Linked DNA regions of Rhinolophus ferrumequinum. The protein of the gene in region 1 binds, or shares a complex with, the protein of each later gene. Links are inferred from orthologs where the notes say so. Each region holds a gene or a part of one and is shown on either strand. Other genes may lie near its edges.

Region 1 (7,671 bases):
TTTGTTTTAAGGATTTTATTGGGGAAGGGGAACAGGACTTTACTGGGGAATAGTGTGTACTTCCAGGACTTTTTTCCAAGTCAAGTTGTTGTCCTTTCAATCTTAGTTGTAGAGGATGCCGTCCAGTTGCCGTTGCTAGTTGCAGGGGGCGCAGCCCACCATCCCTTTCAGGAGTCGAGGAATCGAACTGGCAACCTTGTGGTTGAGAGCCCACTGGCCCATGTGGGAATAGAACCGGCAGCCTTCGGCATTAGGAGCACGGAGCTCCAACCGCCTGAGCCACCGGGCCCGCCCCTCAAACCTCATCTTTTGATTGATCACTTTTTCCATCTTGATTTCTGTCACTTAGCTTCCAAGGTACCACCTTCTGTTGGGTCTTCTGTTGGGGCTTTTTTTCAGTCTCTGATGCTGGTTCATTTCCTTCCCTCATCATCTCTTCCCAGGTGCTTACACAACTCCCTCACCTTTTCTAGGCTGTTGCTAAAGAACTGTCTTCTCACTATGGCCTTCACCACCACCCTATAGAAAGCTGGCATCCGCCCCTCCACCGAGCACCCCGTTCCCCTTCACTGCTTCACTTCCTCCACAGCACACCTCACCACCTAACATAGCATGTGCTATATTTGTTCCTTGTGTCTCCCCACTACACTGTAGGCTCCATGACAGCATAGATTTTTGATCCTTCACACTTGTATCTCCAGCACCAAGAACAGTGCCCCACATGTAGTGGCTCAAAAATGTCTAACGAGGGCCTGACTCCATCTCCAACCTGGAATCACTGGAGCGTGCCATGACTCTGTCCTTGGACCCTCTCTCTGTCTAGCCTCTTCCTCTGATGGTCTTGTCCCATTGCCTGCTTGCTGATAACTCCCATATTTACACCTCCAGCCATGCTCTTCATGAGTCTAACTTCCTGTCTGACGTCTCCACTTGAATGTGTCACAGGCACCTCAAACTTGCCATGTTCCAGCCTGTACTCCCAATCTCCCCGCAAGCCTGCATCCAGGGCCTCTCTCCTCAGTAAGTGGGAAGCCCGTCCTTCCAGTTGCTCAGGCTAAAACCTTGAATTCATCCTTTCTCTCTCCCACCCAAATCTTCAAGAAGCTTCTTGCTTCAGGATCTTTGTACTTACGATTCTGTCTAAAATGCTTTTTATCCGGTCACCTATAAGGTTCACTCCTGTACTTCGAGTCTGCTCACATTTCACCTTTTTAGAGAAGTCTTTCCTGACCAGTCGATATTCCAAATAAGACTCATTCCACTCTTCTCCTTACTTTGCTTTACTGTTCTCCAAACCACTTATCGTCACCTGACACACTATGCATTTATTTGTCTGCCTTTAGTCATATATATACACAGTCATAAATATATATATATATATATTCCAGAAGAGCAGAGTTTCATCTTTGTTTATAGCCATTAGCGTGCCCAGCCTAAAACAGGGCCTGGAACACAGAAAGTATCCAGTAAGTATTATAGCTTCTCTGGACTTCTAGCTCCTCATCCCTAACAGTGGGGAAGAAGACTGCTCTTACAGGTTGTTGAAAGGCCTGAGACAGCTAGCGTCCAGCACTCAATAAATATCAGCAGAAGTAGGGACAGAATCTCTCTGTTGGACTGAAAGCTCAGAGAAGGGTGGCGCCTTGATTTCCCTCACTCGTTTTATAAACCGTCTGATTCGAAAAGAGTGAGCAGCAGTGTAGACAGACACGATGGTCCACTGAGGTAAAAGGAACAGCTTTCCTTTCAACCTCTCAGGTACTTTCCCTCCAAAGAGAAGAGGAATCTGGCAATGAAAGATATGTGCATTTTCAGGACTATCAAGTCTTCCATTAAGGTGGCCCTGTGCTTCCTTAAGGTTTGCAAGATTCTGAGGACTGAAGAAACTGGTCCAAGGGGAGGGGAAAGTGAGCGTTCCCAGACCATTCCTCAAATCCCCTCCCAAGGCCAATCTCGTTCTAGGGTGGCTGAGGGTCCCCCTACAAGCACTTCTTTTCCGAAACTGGGTGCCGTAAGCAATCCCATTCACCCCTGAAGATTCTGACACCTGTGGCTTGTGCAAGCCAAAGGCCCGGGAATGGAAGAGGGGCATGAAAGCTTTACGCCCGGGGCGAGGGTGGGAGAGGGGCTTAAAATCTCCTCTTGGCAGGAGGCAGCGGCGCCTGCCTCCACCCTCGGGAACCGCTCCGGACACCAGGCTGCAGCGCTCAGCCTCGGGCCTGGAGGCCTTGCCGCCCCTCGGCCTACAACACAGCCTGGCCCCTGGGCCTGCCTCAGCAGGATAGGAGACGACGGCCCCCGACACCCGGCGTTGCCCGGGATCCCACCGCCCAGGAGAGGAGGCCCAGGAGAGGGGGCGCTCGGGCACCGGAAGATCCGGAGCGCGCCGGGCGTGGATCGAAGGCTCCAGACCCTGGACAGGGGCGGGGGAGGGGGAATTCAGGGAGGCCTGAGATTCCAAACCCGAGTGGGGCGGAGCAAGAGCACGCCCGGGCCCAGACCGTCAGGGGAAGGGGGGCGCCGGGCACCAGACTCAAGGTGGGGAGGGGGTGCCCGGGCCCCTGACGGGGACTGGGGGGCGAGCCCGAGACCGTGACGCGGAAGTGGGGTCCCCTCCCATCCTCACCTCTGAGCATCGGCTCGGGCCGCGGAATTACCGCCACCACCATGGCCTCCTCCTCGTCCTCCCCTTCCTCGCATTTGAGCGTCACTTCGAAGCAGTCCAGCGCGGCGCCCTCGGCCTTCAGGGCCATGGTGCGGCCGGGGGGTATTTCGATGACCGGACGCTGGAGGACGAGCGCGCAGGCCTGGGCGCGCACTCGGCGGCCGCTCCCGCCCGCAGCCCCCTCCCCGTTGCCGGCCGCCCCGCGTTAGCCGGGCTGTGACGGGCGCGTCCGGGCCTCCCCGACACCAGGAGCGTCCGGACCCCGAGCGGGGAGGGCTTAATCCGGGGCCCCAGCCCCCCGCTGCTCCCTTTTATGGAGGCTCATTGTCGGCTCCCGCCCGGCCGGCCCGCCGCGGACCCGCCCCCGAACCCGGCTGGGCCAATCGCACGCGGCTCCGCCCGTTGCACGCGGCTCCGTTAGAATCCCAGGACCCGCGGGGCGGCGGGAAGGGCCGAGCTGGCTCCCGGCTGCCCTCCAGCGTGGAGGAGGGGATCGCGGGCCAGCGATAGGGGACCCCAGACTCCTCCAGGCGAGGTCATCCTGGGCCGAGCCCAGCGGGTCGAGCTCGTTGAGATGCCAATCAGGCATATTTTGGTGGCATGAAGAGCTTTGGATTGGGGTCGCTTTTGCCTTTCCCTGACCATGCCTTCCTCCGCCAGAAGATGCCCGAGGCTGGAGGGGGCGGTAGCGGGGGGGCCGTGAGGAAGTGGAAAGGGCCTTGGCGTGGGAAGAGTAGAGATGGAATTCCTCCCGAGTTGACAGCTCTGTGATCTTGGACACGTTATGTTTTCTTAGACTACTTCATTCTTTCTCTGAAAAAACATCGGGGAGCATTCTGGACAAGGGCATGCAAAAATGAAGAGTCGAGTGGAGGGTGGGCACAAGCAACCTACCCCTGATGTTTATAATTTCCAGTTTTTAAACGTGAGTGCAGAGATTGTGACTCTCCCTAAAGTTACACAGAAATCCTTGAGAGCTCGAAGTCTAGAGTCCAGTTGCCATGACACTGATGCATTACAATTCTACTGTGGCTGAGCTTTTGCCTTTGTGACACAGGTGGGCATCACCCTCTGTTGTAGAAGCCCTCCTGAGAGTTCAATTGAGAAAATGTCCGACACTGAAAATCCATCTTAAAATGATACTGGATCAGTAGTCACTGAATGATGGACAGTCGTGTGCCATATACAGTGGTCCCATAATGGTCCCATAAGATTAGCGCTTTCTGAAAAGAGTGACACCTTCTCAAGAGGAACCTCAGGCAGGTCCTTCAGGAAGTATTCCAGAAGAAGTCATTGTCATAGGAGATGGCAACTACTGGCCTGTTATTGCCCTTGAAGACCTTATTGTGGGACGAGGCGCCCAGGGAGAAGACGGTGATATTGATCCTGACCCTGTGTAGGCCTAGGTTAATGTGTGTGTCTGTGTCCTATTTTTAACAAGTTTAAAAAGTAAAAAAGAAAAATTTTAAATAGGGAAAAAAGCTTATAGAAGAAGGATATAAAGAAAATATCATTGGAAAAATATCTTTGTATAGCTGGACAATGTGGTTGTGTTTTAAACTAAGTGTTATTACAAAAGAGAAAAGCTGAAAAATTTAAAAGTTTATAAAGTAAAAAAGCTACAGTAAGCTAAGGTTAATTTAATATTAAAGAAAGGAAAAATATATTTTTAATAAACTTAGTGTAGCCTAAGTGTACAGTGTTTATAAAGTCTCCAGTAGTTTACAGTAAGGTCCTGGGCCTTCACATCTACTCACCTTTACCCACTGACTCACCCAGAGAAACTTCCAGTCCTAGTAAGTACCCTGTAGATAGGTGAACCATTTTTTACCTTTAATACGGTATTTTTACTGTACTTTTTCTATGTTTAGATACACACATATTTACCATTGTTTTACAATTGCCTACAGTACTTAGTACTGTACTTAGTACAAGAACGTGCCATACAGGTTAATAGCCCAGGAGCAGTAGGCTATCCCATAAGCCCAGGTGTGTAGCAGGCGGTACAGCCTCGGTTTGTGTAAGTGCGCTCGCTCTGTGATGTTTGCACGACGACGAGATCACCTAACAGTGAATTCCTCAGAACTTACAGGTTTGGATGGAACTTACGACAACACAGAGCAGGAAGTTGAGGCTTAAAGGGTTAAATTACTTGAGCAAGGTAATACAGCAAGAATCCTATTTCATCAAATCCAGGATGAACATTTCCCCTCACATTTGAACAGCTTTGAAACGGGGATTGTTTCTTTATGGACATCGATGTGAAGTTTTAGGAATATCAAGAAGTGTAAGATGGCCCTTCTGATATTCAGAAAGTGCAAATTGTGATTTATAAGAAGTACATATCTGGTCAAAATACAATCTTCATTTGTATGTGGTCTTTATCATTCCTGACTCCCAGCTCTCAAAACCCTTGGAATTTCCTAAGAGTTGCAACTGATGAATGTGTCTTTTGTGATGTGAATGAGGTGACTTTTGGACCCCACCCTAGGGTGGGGACTGGTTGCCAGTAGGAGGCAACCAGGTGGTTAGAGGATTGGAACTTCCAGTCTCACTCTCTGATTTTCTGGGAGGGCAGAGGGGCTTGAGGTTGACCCAATTGCCAATAACCAATGATTCAGTCAATTATTGACTATGTAATGAACCCTCCATTAAAACCTAAAAAGGACAGCTCAGCAGCCCTTTATCGGAGCTCTTCCATGTTGGGGAACCAGAACACTTCCAATTGGTACTGTGCAGGACCCAAGCTCCATGAGGACAGAAGTTCCTTTGGGACCTCACCCTATGTATCGCTTCATCTGGCTGTTGATGTATATCTTTTGTAATAAATCAGTAATCTAGTAAGTAAAATGGGTTTTCTTGAGTTCTGTGAGCCATTCTAGCAAATTAACCGAACCCAAGGAGGGGATCGTGGGAACCTCTGATTTACAGCTCATTGGTCAGAAGTACAGGTAACTTTCGATTAGTATCCTGAAGTGGAGAGGGTCATTGGAACATCCAATTTGTAGCCCAACTGGCATCTTCTGAGACTGTGCCTTTTACCTGTGGAATCTGATTCTACCTCTGGGTAGATAGTGTCAGGAGTTGAATTCTCATACACCCTGCTTCTTGGTATGGGGAAGCCAACACATGTACACACACTGGAGTCGGGTCTGGGAAGGATCCCATTCAGACATGATGTCACCAGCAGAACATAAACCATGCTTGGAATTTGGCGTCGATAAGGCTACTTCATGACCACAGAAATGACTTCACCTTTCTCAGTGATTGCTGCTGCTTTACCAAAGATCTCTCTAGCCCTGCTTGAATCCTGCCTGCTAAATAAACATTATAAAGATACCCAGTCCCTGAATTGCTCCTGCTGCTTAACAGTATTCAATCCAAAACTGGTCTCCACTGGCCTAATCCCTCCATGGAATCACGGAATGAAAGCCCAACTTTAAGCAGATACATGAAGGTTTGCTTAGGGTGCATCCTCCTTTACTGCAGCAAGTTAAATAAACCTTACTGTTTTTGACTACAGGTTTGTTTCTGGTGGTCTTTGATCAGAGGGCTTTGGCAGCCTTAACCAATTTATTTTGCTAACATTTTCATTTTTATTTATACGCAGAGTGATGTGTAATAAAAATCTATGTCAAAATATCAGTCTAACCGCTCTTTTAATAACCATAAAACACAATTCCAAAAGCTAGGAAATCACTGAGTCAGAATTTGGCAGCATTTTTTTCTTAGGGGTACATAAAATAATGGTTCATCTTGCAATCTGTGATGTTCTAGATTTAATGAAATGCGGTTAGTTGCAAAAGGAGGACTCAACTCCAGTTCTCTCTGTCCAGTCCTTGATCTTTCCACTATAGCACCACGCTGCCTCTTGCTGAGCTTTAAGTAGTTGTTAAATGAATGAAAGGATAGATATTACTAGCTCATATATACACAAAGAAACTGAATTTGAGAGAAACAAGTCATTTGAGATCAAAGGACTTGAAGTCACAGAGCAATTCTGTCCCTCTGTGAGGTGGGGCTCGTCTGTCACACCTGGTGCTGAGTGACCTCTCTGTGCCCAGCATCTGAAGGGGACTCCAGACTGTCTTAGACGGACTTATTATGAATTCCCATCCACTGGCTACATAGTGCTAAATGAGTACTTGTGGAAGGCCTTGGAATCTTAATTACTGAGATAGCCCCATGTGGAGGGAAGAGGGTACAGATCTGCCAGACAAGTATGTCTGTAACTCAACAAAACAAATTTGACCTTGAAATATGAGATTCCTAAAACAGGAAGGATGGACTGGAGATAGGAGAGGTGGGATGAATTACCTCTGTTTCAGCAATCAGTTGCTCGAGGCCACTCTCCATAATGTCCCCTGGGTTGGACGCCCAAGCTGGGATGAAACATTTCCTTTTGGTACAGCTTTTACTGTAGGAGGCATCTTAGGGCCTCAGTGATGAGACAGGATGGGGAGTGGGCTGCTGCAGGAAATAAGGCTAGACAAAGCTTGAAATGAGGAGAAGGTTGTTTGAAACCTAAGTGTGGGAGGGTGTCGCTTCACTCCTAGCTTACTTGGCATTTTGTAGTGGTCTACATAAGCCATAATAAATATATGCCCGTGCTCTTTAGCTCAGTAATCCTATTAACAAGAGTCTCCTTAAAATCATCCAAAAGAAGAAAAATAATGACCTAACAAAGATGTCATAGTAGTGTTCACTGCTTGAACTATTCATTCCCTAAAACTTAGTAGACTCGGACTCCTGGAGGAAATTTTATTCAGTTACATGTAGTCAGGGGGTCCCCTTCTCTTAGCTCTTGAGTCAGCTGGAACACCTCTGTTAAGAAACTCAGCACAGCATGCTGTAATTGCTTGTTTGCAGATCCCACACTTTGGGGATTTTGGTCAAACAAAACGGGATTTATTGGCTTATGGAATTCAAGAAAGGGCTGACTGTCCAATCGTGGGAAGGGCAGGGACACAGACAGGCTTTAGCAATAATGGGACTTAGGATGCTAA
Region 2 (7,978 bases), on another chromosome or scaffold:
TATTAACTGTTGTTTCTAAGCAAATTAAGGTCCTGCTAACAGCCAAACCAAAAGAAATATCCAACAGCATTATTTTTAATCTCTAAATAATCCACATGAGTAATTCCGGAAACAACAGTATCCTTTTCATGTATTTCTAACATCCCAGGAAAAAAATGCTAACAATTAAGGAATGTATCCAGGGAAGTTGTAACTGTGTAATCAGGTAAGTCATGGGGACATGAAAACACTGTAATTAAATTTCTTCTAGTTAAGACTTCAAATTAATAACTCTCATAATATCTCAATACAATAACAGTCAAATTTGAGGTACTACTTCCCATAAGTGTACAGTCACACACAAACCACAACAATCTCCCAGTTCACAATTAAAGGAGAAGTACCACTCATTATCTAAGATGCACTGTGGACACCCATGACCAACATTACCTAGACTTCATGGATGGATGTTAATAGACATTACACTAACAACAAAACAAAAAGGGATCTGGGGCCAAATATGGAAAACATTACTGCACTGTTTCTCTCAGGCCTTAATGTGCTAATGTGAATTGTGACCTTGGGGGGAGAAGAAAAGGACACAGCTTTGTTTCCCAAACTTATGTGACCCCTTTTCCTGTAGCATCTCTTAGAGCTACAGATGCTCCTCAATTTACAATGGGGTTACATCCCAAAGAACCCATCGTTAGGTTGAAAATATTGTAAATTGAAAACGCATTTAATACACCAATCGTACCAAACATCATGGCTTTGCCTGGCCTACCTTAAACGTGCTCAGAACACTTACATTAGCCTTTAGCTAGGCCGTTAGGTTAGGCAATTACTCATGAGTAACTGCCTTCCTCATCTTCTAACCAGAAACAGGACGCACAAGATAGGTGTTTCGTAAACATGATGGGATGCAAAAACCCAAAACACAATATCCAAGAATCACTGGCAACACAGTCCACAGTGGAGTACTGGTTGTGATCACAGGCCTGACTGGGAGCTGTGGCTCACCGCCCAGCATCACCCGAGTATGGTGCTGTATATCACTAGATGGGGAAGAGATCAAACTTCAACATCTGTAGTCCGGTTTCTACTGAATGCATATTGTATTCACACCATCGTAAAGTCGAAAAATCGTAAGTGGGATGTCTGTTGTGTCACAAATAATGCCACCTTAAGCAACACAGTTTTGGATTCTAAAACTAAGTAAATATTGTTACCGTATTCTGAGTCGGTAATTAAAGGTACTGCCAGAAACAGTCTTAGCGGAATTCCTGGGATCATCGAAAGTCTTAAAAATCCTAAATTAAACAAAGAGATGACTAAAGGCCCTTTTTCCTTACCCATTTCACAGCATTTTAACAGTAACCATTTCACTACTCAAAAGATTAGAAATTCTACTTTGTTTCTTACAAGAAACTACCAATAATTTTGAAACATACTGTCCTATCTTACATATAATCAAGACTGATAATAAACGTTCTGTAAATTAGTAGCTACAATGTTTTGGTGTTTGCCCATTAACTAGGGCTGGGGGAGGGGAGTTGAGAGAAGCCTCCCTCATTTCACTTGAACCCCAACTGAAATTTCACAAAAGTTCAGTCTCTAAGACTGTTCACAAGCTCAATGTGTTCTAGTATACACACCCAGTACAGGTTTAATTTTCACTTCCTAACAAAAGCTACGTAGAAAGTAATTACTGTACTCTCTATCAATCCTTTCCAACTGCAGAGTTCCTTCCAGAAAATTCCAACAGAATAAAGTTATATAGGTATTCGCATTTTGGTAGGTATGTCGTCTTTGGCAGAAATCACGTTACGTAGTGTAAGCCTTTAAAACACTGAGATGTATTGTGTTGCTTTTTGATATGTAGCTAAACAATCCTCCTTTGCCACTTCAACATGCAGGAAAAACCATCTCCAAAACCCGGAATTCCATCCCACAAGTCAAAGAAAGCAAATAAATATGAAACAACTGCGCAAACAGACTTGGGATGCCTATTTCGTGGCATTTACTGCGGAAGCCGTCACTAAAACCCAGTCTGGTAATGTGGGGGTCGCACCCCCAGTGGAGAGGCGGGCAGAACAGAACCAAAGGCACTGCGCAGTTTCCGTGTCGTGCGATTCATCTCCACAAACGCTGCGGAATGCGCTCAAGGTCATAGTGAGAGAAAAAGTGTGTGTGTGAGTGCGCAGACCCCGCCACCCGCCCGTCTCGCGGAAGGAGCCTAGGGTGAAGGGTGCCGCAAGAAAAATGGGGCTGTGGGCGTCACGGGGAACGCCAAAGCAAAGCCCACCGCGAGGACAGGAGGGCAGCGCTGGGCTGTAGGGGCCCATCCACAGAACTCCTTCCCTTCTCTCCCTGGGGTCACAACCCTGTCCCTCCCCTAGCACAGTGTCCCGCACTGCCTCGCCCCCGCCCCGGGAGACCCGTCCTCTCCTCTCCCTCCCCACGTCTTTCCTTCTCTCCTTCCTTCCTTCCTCTCCTCCCTCCCTCCAAGCCCTCCAACCCCCCTCCCGCGCCCCGGGGGACGCCTACCCTCCCCCTCTCTCCAGCCCCTCCCACGCCCATAGGGTCCCGTTCCCCTTCCCCAGCCCAGCCTGGGTTACACAACACTCACCCCGCCCGCCCCCGCTGGCACCCGCCGCAACGATCCCCCCCCCTCGCCCCGGGATCGCGCAGCCGCGGCGTCCGGAACAAAGCGCGCGGTGCGGCCGAGCCGGGGGCGGCGGCCATGTTGGCGGGGGCGGCGAACAAAGGCGTGCGGCCCGAGGCCCCCACCCACGGCCCGGCCGGCAGGGGGCGCTGTGCAGGCGCCGCCCGGACAATGAGCCGCGGCCCGTCGCTCCCCGGGCGCCACCGCCCCTCATCGAGCCCAACGCGCCCCCCTCACGGCGCCCTCTCCCCCACGACGCACGTGCCTCACCTGCCGGCCACCGAGGCCGCTGTCCGCAGCCTGCGGGGCCCGCCGTCCCGCGCCGCGCTCCCGCCCCGACCGAGCCAGACGGCGCCGCCCCGCCCCCGCTCCGCCGCCGCCACCGCCGCCGCCGCCCGCCCCCGGCCGCACGGCGCACGCGCACTACGCGGGCCGACTGCGCCGGCTGCGCGGTTCGACCCCGGCCCGAAGGGCTGCACTGCGCAGGCGCTGCAGGCAATGGGCGGGGCCTGGCGCTGCTCACCTGGCCGCAGGGTGGGCGGGGCAGGACTGAGTTCTGCAGGGTCTGGCCGGCGACGGGGCAAGGCCTGGTGGGCAATGGAACGGAGCCTGGCGCGGCTCACCTGGAGGTGGGGCGGGCGGAGAAGGACTGAGAGGGCCGGGACCTGGCGGGTGACGGCGCGGAGTCTGGTGGGGCGGGGCCTGGAGCTGCTTTCACCTGGTGGCGGGGTAGGCGAGCATGGCCGCCAGGCTCCAGGTGCTTTCCGGGAAAGGGCGGTGTTCAGGGCGCGTAGTCCCAGGAGCCTAGGTGGACTAGACTGGCGCCGGAAGTTAGGCCTCCAGGGAAGTTTCGTTTTCGCTCATTGGGAGGCCTTTAACCAGCCCTCCTTGTCCTTGCATTGAAGCAGCAAGTTGTTCTGCGGCGCTCACGCTGCCCGCAGGATGAGGCCAGACACCTTGGCAACGGCGTCCTCGGGCTGAGCCGTGCTATCCACCGCGGGCCCGCTTCCCACGCGGACTCCGCGGTGGCCCGGACCCAAGCTGCACCTTCTCACTGCCCTACCTGGCGGATGGGTGGTCTGGGATGCTTCTGCAAGACCTGACGTCCTCCCAGTGGCCGGCCCCTACCGCAAACGGGAGTACTGGCCGGGCTCACCTGAGATCAGGAGCCAGGCGTACGCGCATCAACTTATTTGACTTTGCTTCATCCTAAAAGCCCTTTGAGCGTTAGGGTGGGTGTTTGCAGGATAGAGAGGAAGGAACAGTTTTGACTCTTGCGGGATTGAGTGGGGGACCTGGAGGCTGAATCCCGGTTCTGAACCCCAACCCCTGCCCGGTGCTCTCCCCTTTCCCCAACTTGCCCCACTTCCAACCTAGGCTCTCCCCTTCCTCCCAACAACCCTCCCTCCAGCTCCCACTAGCCGGTGTTCTCCACGTGGTTCCTCAAGTGCGAAAGCACAGCCATAACAATACACCGCCTCCCCAAGTGTTGTCAGTGTAAATGACAAGACTTATTATTAGAAAGCACTTTGTACACTCTAACCTGCAGCACGCCTGTTTGCAATACTCTGGAATTTCACTAGCACTCTTTTCCAAATAAGATTGGTACGTGCCTGCTCAAACTGATCATGTCAGATAAGCAGTGGCAGGCACGGGAAGTTCATAGGCCAACTAGAGGGCCAGTTTAGATACAGACGTATAAAAGTGAATCATCGTACTTAGCAGTTAGGAAGTATTGGGAAATTGTTACTTTTGTTTGTACGTTTAATGCTGATGCCCCAGAAGGTAGTGGAGCATTTCAGGAACAAGGAGGAATGGTGCCAAGGAGCTGGTTGGAACACTTCAGTGGCTCCCTGGGTTTTTCCACCTCACCACTATTGACATTTGGGGCCAGATAATTCTTCTTCAAGGGGAATGTTTGACAGCATCGCTGCCCTCCTCCCTCTAGATGCCAGCAGTACACCCACTCCCCCAACAGTACCACAACCAAAAATGTCTCCAGAAAAAGCCGAATGTGTTGTGTCATTGTCCCCTGCCCCCTCTCTGAGAACCCCTGGTTTAAATGTTGCCTCTAGTGATGGTCCCTGAAGCTATCAAGGCGGGGGAGCTCAGCCAGCCCTATGTCAGAAAAGGACACGCTCTCCAGAGGACAACTACCAGTTCTGCTAGTAGTATCTCAACTGCCCTCTGCAGCCTTGCTCATTAGCATACCGACTGTCAAAAATGGGTTTTTACGTCACCCATGTGTATCTGCCAAAAATCTTTAAAATGAATCTAGTCATCACTGGGTAAAAATCAGACATCCAGATTGAGGTACATTCTGCAAAACAGCTCCACCAAACTCTTCGAAAAGCCAATACAGTAGTACATCGGTTTTCGAATGTCTCCATTGACGAACATTTCAGTTTACGAACACCCTAAACCCAGAAGTAAATGCTTCGGTTTTCGAACACGTCTCAGAAGTGAAACATGTCACACGACTTCCACTGAGTTCAAGATCCTGAGGCCTAGCTGTCGGCTGTTTTCGAACGTTTCAGAACTCTAATGGTCTTCTGGAACGGATTACATTCAAAAACCGAGGTCTCACTGTATCAAGAAAAGCTAGGGAATCACTCCAAACATAGTAGGAGACCACCAACAAATCATCACGTGACCCTTCATCATACACCAGGTTGAAGGAAAGAAGTTATGAAAGAGATTCCAGGGACAATTGGAGAACTTTGGAGTAATATTAGAGTCTTATTAAATCATAATTAAAGGTTTCAGTGTGGTGATGGCTATTACTGAGCATGCCTTGTTATTAGCAGATATGTGCTGAATTATTTAAAGTCAAGCTGTGGTGGCTACAACTTCCTTTCAAATGGCTCAGAAACAGGTGTGTTTTCTATAGAGATAAGCATATAGAGCAAAATGGTAACAACTGGGGATCTAGACAATGGTATATGTGTATTCATTGTACAATTTTTTTCAACTTTTCTGAAAAGCTAATTTTTTTCAAAATAAGCTGGAAAAGTGGAATTCAAGTTATTTCATGAATTGCTAGAATGCTCAGTAAGCCGCATTGCTTCAGCTTCACAGGCTGCCCCTGCTCTCTTCCAACTTGCTGACCAAACATTTCCAGAAACTTAAATATACAGAGGGTGCCAAAAAGTGTATACACACTTTAAGAAAGGAAAACTATTAAAATTTTAATACTGTATACTGATAACAAAAGATGAATACAAGTCACGTTTGACTTCTGCAATTACAAGAGGTGCCCAAAGTGGTTACCATCAGCGTCCAGACACTTCTGATTATGGCAAACTACTGCTTCAGCAACGTTGACCAAAGTGTTCACTTGTATACATTTTTTTGGCACCCCCAATATAGTTCATTTCTTTACAATTTCTCAATCACATTTGACTTCTGGATTTTAGGTCTGCGTGGCCTACGTCTATTTTCTTCCTGCAGGAAGGAATTTATATTTGCTTATAGCTATAGTAGGGTCGATGCTTCTTTTAATGCTGTGTCCCTGGGTTCCTACTTGGGAATATGAGAATTTCTGCCCCAGAGATGAATATGTTTGTTAACCTAAAAATAAATGGCCAAAGTGAGGCAACGAGCATGTATTTGAGATCCAAAAGAATAGCCATTGGAGAAGTACTGATTCAGGCAGAAACCCAAATAGTGTTCAGGTTAGGAGGCAGAGGCAAAGGGCTATTTATAAGAAAGGGAAGGGGATCAATTACATCAATAGAAGGAAGGCATTTCTATAGGGGCAGATAAGCTAAATTAGTGATGCTAAATCTAAAGAATGTTTCTAATTTTCAGTCCAGTAGTCATAATAACTGCTTTCTGGTTGTTTTTGCAAACAGTTGTTTGGGATATAACGTTGCTTTAGGCCCAGTCCAAAGGATATTTTGCCCTGTTTTAACATTCCAAAGGGTTGAGGCAAAGACTGCAAGGCAGTTCTGGAATGGCAGCTCAACTCCATTTTAAAGTGGCTCCATTTAGTATTTTTCTTACACATTTGTGATGTGGGAGTGGAGCGAACTCAGACCCTCGGTGAACCCTGGTATATCTACCCTACTGACATGATGTGATACTTGGAAACCAATCCTTTTCAAATTAGTTACATAATTATTCAATTAATGCAACACAGCAGAAAGTATTCAGAATCCAGTGTATACCCCTTACATAGGGATATTTCTTTGTATTGGCTTAACCTCTAGGTGGATGAGCTTGGTGGGCATGCTCTCTCCCCAGTGCTGCCTGGGTCACCCCGAGTTGGTCCCACAGCCTGGTCACAGGCAGTGGGGGCAAAGTCACTGAAATGGAAGTGTTCAGGGTTTTTACACGGGGAACACATTGACCCTCATGGATGGGGCTCATGCTGGCTCTCCCACTCCCACCTGTGACTATATGTTTGTGGCTACACTGATGAAGCAGTCCGAACATGTGACTCCCGATAAGATGGTGGGCACACTAGGACAGAGGCAGCTCTTCTCTGATCAGGCGCTGGGCCAGATCTCTCTGATTGACAGCCATGTTGGTACACACTCTACAGGACGAAGTACAAGATCCAGAGCCTTCCTGGATGGCCAGCAGTAGGACCAGAAAGAGGGGAAGGGGTAAGGAGACCTCAGGAAGGGCAGAGTCAGCTGTGCCTGGAACCCCTCCACTCCTGGCTACAGGAGGCTGGAATTGGTGACAGTAGATTTTCCAAGCCTCTCATCACCCTTTGTCATCTTATCTTTTATCACCCTTGCAGAGGACAGATCCTTTGATTCCTTTCCCTGCTGTATCTCTACTGCCTAGGATAGAGCCTGGGAAGAGAAGGGGTTCATTAATGACTCTACAGAAGAATCTTTGTGGTCTCTAGATGGCTTCCCCAGGTTTGCGTCACAACATAAATGCTAAAGTTATTCTTCTAGGGGAAGTAACCGTTTAGGTAAAACAATCAGGTTCCCACCCTAAGATGCTAATGCTGGCCCTGGAGAAGCCACACCCAGTTCTAAGCCCAGCCCTCTGTCTTCTGACCCCTTCCCCACTCCCCCAATTCCCTCTCTAGGGTCCACCTCATCTAGGGTATGAGTCCCCTCCTTTCCCATTCAGAATGGAAGGGGTCTGGCCACCTAGATTCCATGGAAGCCGCAGGTCAGGTAGACCCCACACTAAAGTGTCTTCCTGTTGAAGCGGGAGGGAACTGGCCTGCTGCAACTCTCTCTGCTTGGATGTCTGGCAGCAGTGGGATTAGAAGTGTCAAAGAGGGCCACTTTTCTCTCTGGAATCCTGTCTCTCAGAAGGTACTCTCTCCACACTCATTTTTGGCTTGATACTTTGTTCCTGGAACCT

Evidence for each region.
Region 2: the proteins of SPINDOC (region 1) and SPIN1 are in contact, whole or in part, in a crystal structure (PDB 7CNA), measured with the Homo sapiens proteins. The link is inferred for Rhinolophus ferrumequinum from reciprocal best matches to the Homo sapiens genes SPINDOC and SPIN1. Residues at the interface, in NP_612480.1 of Homo sapiens: Phe256, Ala258, Pro259, Ala260, Val262, His264, Phe265, Thr266, Asp267, Ser269, Phe270, Pro271, Gly273, Phe274, Val275, Leu276, Gln277, Leu278, Phe279, Ser280; in NP_006708.2 of Homo sapiens: Met154, Thr169, Tyr170, Glu171, Pro174, Pro206, Val209, Val210, Leu213, Lys216, Gln217, Val218, Glu219, Tyr220, Thr229, Val232, Val242, Tyr243, Ile245, Phe247, Asp249, Asp250, Tyr254, Val255, Tyr256, Asp257, Leu258, Val259, Lys260, Thr261.

What each region holds. Positions count from the first base shown.
Region 1 is NC_046294.1:7,509,149-7,516,819, forward strand, and holds the start of SPINDOC (spindlin interactor and repressor of chromatin-binding protein), read right to left. Parts: upstream 3,016-7,671; 5' UTR 2,754-3,015; coding exon 2,627-2,753; intron 1-2,626. UniProt on the Homo sapiens protein: Chromatin protein that stabilizes SPIN1 and enhances its association with histone H3 trimethylated at both 'Lys-4' and 'Lys-9' (H3K4me3K9me3).
Region 2 is NC_046295.1:5,450,588-5,458,565, forward strand, and holds the start of SPIN1 (spindlin-1), read right to left. Parts: upstream 3,020-7,978; 5' UTR 2,915-3,019; intron 2,739-2,914; exon of another isoform or gene 2,609-2,738; intron 1-2,608. UniProt on the Homo sapiens protein: Chromatin reader that specifically recognizes and binds histone H3 both trimethylated at 'Lys-4' and 'Lys-9' (H3K4me3K9me3) and is involved in piRNA-mediated retrotransposon silencing during spermatogenesis.